Schizosaccharomyces pombe: one gene and its partner. Changing the gene in region 2 together with the main gene of any one other region gives a genetic interaction. Each region holds a gene or a part of one and is shown on either strand. Other genes may lie near its edges.

Region 1 (3,759 bases), on a different chromosome or scaffold from region 2:
AGTTTGCAATGAAGGCATAGTTGCTTAGTTTTGCAGTGTATCAGATTTTTTGTTTTGGTTTAATGTTATCTCTTGGAAACTAATGATGGTCATTTAACGAAAACAATGCTGCATAATTGGGAGTTCTCATATTGAATATCAATTCATGATTATGCTCTTTTAAGTTGATTTTGAATGTGGAAGTTTTGTAACTATATCGTAATAATTTCTGTGCTTCTATTAAATTACGTTTCTGCAACTGCAAATGGAATATTTGAAAACTTATTCTAATATTCCTATATTGCTACTTCATCATGAAGTTGTTGCTATAAAAATTACTCTAGTTTGAGGGAGGGAACCCAAATCGTGGTTTCTTCCTATAGAATGAGTGTACAATTACAATAGTGATGTACTAAACGTAATTTCCTACAAAAAAATGAGTAAGTTCTCTTCTTTTACTTTGTTATTTTATTACCCGTTACAAAGATATTAGGGTTGATTCTATTTCAATTCCTGTCCGAACTGAAGGTAATGGATATCGAAAATCACTAAATGAAAAAAAGGAGAATATAGATACTTAAATTTCATAGCGAAAATAATATATTTCTACCTCAAAAAAAAAACATGTACTAAAAATTCTCCCCACACCACTTTCAAACATAATCAACGTTTCTAAAAAGACAAGGCGTCACTGTTTACTTCTGTTCAATGACCTCAACCCAGTAATTATCAGGGTCCAGTAAGAAAGCAATATCCTTCATTCTGCCATCGGTCAATTTCTTCTTGAATGGTAGCCCCTCAGCTTCAAATTTAGAGCAAGCTGCATTAATATTGTCAACGGAAATACAAACATGACCATAACCCTTTTCATCGCCGTCATTGCCATTATGGTAAACGGGTCCTGACTCCTTTTCAGTACCCCAGTTATGAGTCAATTCAAGTAATCCCTCACGATCATGTCTGGGCAAGTCGCTAGGATAGGCCAAGAAATAATTGGTGAACTTACCATTGGGATGATCCGCTTTGTCAATTACCTTCATTCCAAGTTTCTCATAAAAGGCGATACTAGGTTCGGGATCCTTAACACGGACCATTGTATGATTAAAACGAAAGTTAGAAATATTAGCTTTGGGCTTAGTTTCAGATTGAGAAACAAGCTCAATCCAGTAATTGTCAGGATCCAAGGCAAAAGCGATGTGTTTCATCTTACCATCGGAAAGCTTTTTCTTAAAAGAAACCCCCTTGGATTCCAAATATGCGCAAGCAGATTCAATGTTATCAACAGTAAAGCAGATGTGTCCAAATCCTCTCTTAGGCTCGGTATTACCATTGATATAAACAGGGCCTTCCTTCTTCTCAGTGCCAAAGTTATAAGTCAGTTCCAATATACCTTCACGCTTACTACGTTCCACTCCGTGATTTAGAGCTCCAGGTCCATCGAAAGCTAAAAACGACAAAGAGAATTCATTTTCCTCGAAAACCCATTGATCAATGAGTTTCATACCAAACACCTCGGTATAAAATTTGAGACTCTTGTCGAGGTCTTTCACACGAATCATAGTGTGATTTAGTTTGTAAGTACTCATGTCAGTAGTAGAAGCCATATTCGTAAAGAAGATACCCGTTAAGTTGTAAATTTATATATATAAACTTATAGCAACGTTGTTGACGAGGATGAATCAAAAAACTGAATATAAACAGCAAAAAGATTGATGTGTATTGAAGCAGAAACACAAAGAAATTTCAAGTTTAAAAAATTACCGAAGTAAGTTTATATCAATGATGTGGAAGATGCTAACCAGTAGATTTCTAAAGAATTGATGTCATGTACGAGTCCATTGGCTTTCGTTATAGAACTTATAGATTTATATCACAATATCGTTATTAAGATTTACGTGCTAATGGGGTATGTGATAATAATGAATCTTCAAATTGCTAAGTATATAGCTTTCATTGTAAATAAAGAAGAAATTAGTATACAAAGAGAATATCAGCGTTCTGATTAGTCAATTTTACATTAAAATATTATGAAGAGAAATAATTTAATTAAAAAGAGAGAAACAAACCTATCTGTAGCTAAACAATCGTTTGTAATCCAATCTGTTATCATAATTAAGTCTCAAAGTGTGCTCTCTCTGATGCTAGTGTAAAGAAGGATACACAACTTCCTCAAAGCAAAAAATAAAATAAAATAAAATATTTAGCGAATCCGTTTAAATATGATAGTGGTGGAACCTGAAGAACAATATGACTCATCACCATCATGGAACTCAAAAGTATATAACATAAACTTGTAAATAAAATCTAAATGTAAACAAAAATCTGATATGACTTATCTACCAATATGTAGAAAATCAGAATCCCCTTAGGATATAATTTATGAACGATCAACAGAGGTATGTAAATAAAACTGTTTGATCCTCAGCGAGCACCAGAATCCAGCAAAAGCTATAATTGCAACTAAGGCAAAAGTCCATGTGAAAGCAGTGGCATACGACTTTATGACTAGCTTTTGGATATCTTTGGGGAGATTTGGAATGATGCTTATACTTTCTCGAAGACGTCGAATCAAATCATCTTTATCCGGATCGTCCTTTAAGTTGGAGGCTAACTGCTTCATAAGGATTGAAAGAGTTGTTGTTTGGGAAAGACTGATACCAATGACGCTACCTGTTGCACGGAAAAGATAGGAAAGGCCTGTAGCAACAGCTTGTTCTTCTGGGGCTAAAGAACTGATAATAGCAATAAGGGTAGAAGTTAGGTTCATTCCATAAGAACATCCGGTCATTGCCAAACAGAGAGAAATTAATATTAAGGGTGTTCTGTGACCGAAAGAAGTAAGAACAGCAAAGGAAACAATACCCATCAACATGAAAAAAAATCCAGCAATAACCAAATTTCTATACCTGCCAGTTTTCTTCATGTATAAGCCTGAACAAAGAGATCCAACAGATGTGGAGATAACGTAAGGAAAGATACGAACACCGGCCTCAGACGATGGCATTAATAGCGTCGTTTCGAAAAATAAGGGTAATTCGTAGACAATGACAAAACTGCAAAACGCATTGAAAAAGTTACCCAAACAGACATTCAAGGGAGTAGGCTGAGATAGGATCTCCACAGGCGCAATTGGTTCAACAGCAATATTCTTTTCGACCCAGTAAAATGCGAACAAAATAAGGACAGAAGATACAAGCAAAGTAATGATAACTGGAGAAACCCAAGGAAATGCGTCCCCGCCCATGTTAAAGGTAACTACCAGTGCCGTAATGCCCGTTACAAGAAGAAAACTGCCTAAGTAATCAATGCGTGAAAGCAACGATGCATTGGAATTTCGAACGGTAGGTTTAACGCGGACACGCCAAGCAACTAGTATGGTGGATAATATTCCCATAGGGACTTGAAAATGAAACGCTGTTCTCCAACCCCATCTTTGAGCAATTAACCCACCCAATGGTCCTCCCAAACTACCTCCGATACCCCAAACAATGTTAGTTATACCTTGCCAGGTACCACGTTCACGCAATGAAACGATGTCACTCGAAATGATGGAAGACATGGTACCAAGACCTCCACCGCCAATGCCGGCGAGAGCGCGAGCCATACACAATTCCGGAAGACTTCTCGATATACCACACCAAAAAGTTCCAAGCGTGAAAGCAGCATTTGCAAATACAACGGTAGGGCGTCGTCCAAAGATGTCACTAAGTCTACCATATAAAGGTTGGAAAGCGGTGTTTGTAATTAAATAGGCGGTAACAATGTAGGAAGCATTATTCA
Region 2 (3,557 bases):
GGTTAGTAGAGTTAATGCATTTTTTTCTATAGACGCTGCCATAAAAATATGTAGAAGTATGAACCTGGGAAAATCAACATATTTGAATTTTAAATAAATAATCTTAACGCTTAATTCAAATGGACATTTAAAAAGTTGTGTCTTAATTAGAATAGTAAAACGTGTCCTTTCCGCAGGCAATGAAAAAAAAGCCAAAAACAAAACAACTCAAAAAGTCAAATTTCACTCTTAAAGCCAAGTAAAATACTAGGCAAGTTTAGATGGAATATAGCAAATGGAGATGAAACCTTCGGCGCATTTTGCTACAACGTACACATCAATATATGCATATGTAAATTTGGTACATATTTTATATAATATCAATATATATACCAATCACCTGCATTATGCCAGTTTCATCCAAAACTCAAAGCCTCAGTATTGCGATATCGCATAAGCATAATATAGTATAGTAATACATCTTTATTATCGATATCCTCTGGGCTGCTAGTGCAAAATGATGTAAAGAATATCTAATAAAAATATCAAATTGATAGTTAGCCATTTACTAGAAAAGGATTATAAACATCAACGGCTAAAAAATAATGTAAATTTTGCCGGGTTCATGGACAAGCCGAGTGGAGCTCTAGTTTAGATCTGATAGCGCAATACTAGTAGTAGGTAGTACACATGGTCAAAGTCGGTAAATTAGGTAAACACTTACGCACTTCTATTATTACTTCTTTACAGAAACATTATTTACCGAACGAGAAGGTATCGTTCTTTAGCATTTTCTGTTTTGACATGCCGTTAAATGCAGGATGATTAAAATACTTGTAAATGCGTTCTGTGCGTGAGAGCATACTAACAAGCTTGGCCGTTTCATGAAAAAAAAGGTTAAATGAGCTTCAGCAAAACGCAGTTAAAACGTTCATCAATTCCTTCTAATTATATTGATAATCCAATGTTTGCAAGGAAACAAATTTCTTATCTGTATTGAACCTTTTTGTAATTTACTATTAGACACTACTAGATCTTTTTCTGTATTCTCAGCAACGTAGAAACGAAAACCCGAGAAATCTCGTCTGTCTGTTAACCTGATGTAAACCTCAAAGACGGGGTCACCTTTCCTAGCTTTATTCATTAGGTTTGCGTAATAATTTACTGCTTCAACAACTTTAGAACAATGCTTCTATTGAAGTTTTGCTAATTAAACAACCAGTTCACAAAAAAATGATATAAAATCAAAAAAGAAGGAGCCTACAGCACCCCGGATTCCCATGTTGTCTCCAACCATAGTACTAACGAGGCCCTCAGACGCTTAACTGCAGTGATCGGACGGGAACTGGTGTTTTCGCCTAGGTATGGCCGTAGACATTTGGATCAGTAAATAGCTCTATAAATACTTAAAATGTATTTTATATTGTCTACCAGCAGAGCCTGTTTTAAGTGTTGGATCATTGAACACCATCAGGCAAATGGTATACAATAGTCATGAATTGATTTCAATTATGGATATTTAAAACTACATATCTTTTGCTAAGTCATTTTCAGTAAAGGAATGTTTTACCCGAAATCCTTATAATAGAGTTAATGAACTAGCTACAAACGCAAACAAAACACTGTCAAATTTATTAGCCTCCTAGTGACGTTACATAGTCTATCAAGGGTCTAGTCATGGTTTTAACCGATTAGAAAGTAGTTTTTTATACAATATATTTAAAGCCTCGTTTTTTGTTACACAAGTGTGTAAAAACCTCATTAGTCCTTGTTGTCATCTAGAAAAGTACTTAAGGTTCTTCCGTACAGCAGGAATCTTTACATAGTAGAAATTGCTATATGATATAGAATGACATCTATTGAATGCAACAACAATCGACCCTAGAACAGCTTCGAATTTCATGACTTCATATTTTGTAATATGGTAGGAGCATGATTTTTTGTGTTGATTTAAAGATTGAATAGTGTATATATATATATATATCTTTACATCTACGAAACGTTGAATTGATTTTATATCAATAATATCGATCATTTTTATTCTATTATTTGTTTGTTTGCTTGGCTTTCATCTATTTCTACAGACTATCTTTCCCTAATGTCTATTGCAAAAGGAAAAAATGCATTGCTTGTTGCCAGCAGTTATTATGGCCCATTTTATCCAGATGGTAAAAACACTGGAGTCCATTTTTCAGAGCTTTTAATCCCTTACAATGTTTTCAAAAAAGCAGGTTTTAACGTGCAATTCGTTTCAGAAAATGGCTCTTACAAATTTGACGATCATTCCATTGAGGAGTCAAAATTAGGGGACTTTGAAAGAAAAGTATTTAATGATAAAAACGACGATTTTTGGACTAATCTTAACAATATGAAAAAGGCTTCGGACATAGTTGGAAAAGACTATCAGCTTTTATTTGTGGCAGGTGGGCATGCTGCGATGTTTGACTTACCCAAAGCCACGAATTTACAGGCGGTAGCAAGAGAAGTGTTTACAAATGGTGGTGTTTTATCGGCAGTCTGTCATGGCCCTGTTTTGCTTGCCAATGTAAAGAATCCACAATCAGTTGAAGGCAAAACAGTCGTGTATCATAAGCATGTTACAGCTTTTAATAAGGCTGGAGAGGAAAAAATGGGTGTTATGGATGAATTGAAAAAACGAGGGATGAAATCCTTAAATGAAATATTTGCTGAAGCAGGGGCAACTTTCATTGATCCACCAAACCCCAATGTCAACTTTACTCAGATCGATGGAAAAATTGTAACAGGGGTAAATCCGCAGAGCGCAAAATCGACTGCTGAAGCCGCCGTTAGCGCATTATAAAAATTATGTTGTTTGTTGTTATGAGTTATACGAAATAAATAAAAAGAAAAACATTGGAAGATAATTTTTTCGCAGATCTGCTGTTCATTAAAAGTGATGCTTATGCTCAAGTGAAGCATTGCTAATTTGCGATACTGTTTTATAAATATTATAAATTTAGTACTACAACTTTTGCGATTATTCATGACCAAGTATTGTTGAGATTGAATGCCGTCTCAATTATGGTAGATAAATATTCATTGGTAACTATATAATTTGCTGCTGCTGCAAATGATCGCTTAATGTAACAGTTAGCGCTCGTAAATGACAAAAAGAAAGAGCTGGTATATTCTATTAACAATTATGGGTTAAATCAGTCAAATACATGTAGCCAGGTTTATGAGAGTAAACGGGCTCAGGTAGTTTACTCATCATTACTACGTTTTGTGGAGTAACACCACAGCCCCAGAAAATAGGGATTTCACCTTCTTTGAATTCGACAGGCACGCCAAAGTCAGGTTTTCCACAGTCTTTGACTCCAATTTTCTTAGCACCATCCCAACCCCATGCAACAGGTTCTCCATGGCAGTTCGTATAAGCAGAAGTAATTTTTCTGATTCTTTCAAGGTCCTTTTCAGGGTATGGACGCATGGAGACTACAAAAGTACCAGTAAAAACGCCAGATGCGCAAAGAGGGATATTTGTAATAAACATTGGAGGTGCATCACCAGTTGGTAAATGCCTTGGGATAAAATTCTCAGCTACTAGTGCAGCTTCA

What was found.
Region 1: of hsp3102 (region 2) and glo1, extra expression of one rescues a mutant of the other (dosage rescue), as found in Schizosaccharomyces pombe (one study listed by BioGRID).

Annotation. Positions count from the first base shown.
Region 1 is NC_003423.3:2,444,522-2,448,280, reverse strand, and holds glo1 (glyoxalase I glo1), read right to left. Parts: upstream 1,725-3,759; 5' UTR 1,584-1,724; coding exon 675-1,583; 3' UTR 424-674; downstream 1-423. Other genes in the region: vacuolar amino acid transmembrane transporter Fnx1, read right to left, coding at 2,357-3,759. UniProt on the Schizosaccharomyces pombe protein: Catalyzes the conversion of hemimercaptal, formed from methylglyoxal and glutathione, to S-lactoylglutathione.
Region 2 is NC_003424.3:147,456-151,012, reverse strand, and holds hsp3102 (glyoxylase III Hsp3102), read left to right. Parts: upstream 1-2,077; coding exon 2,078-2,800; 3' UTR 2,801-2,975; downstream 2,976-3,557. Other genes in the region: dgc1 (D-glutamate cyclase ), read right to left, coding at 3,134-3,557. UniProt on the Schizosaccharomyces pombe protein: Catalyzes the conversion of methylglyoxal (MG) to D-lactate in a single glutathione (GSH)-independent step. May play a role in detoxifying endogenously produced glyoxals. Involved in protection against reactive oxygen species (ROS).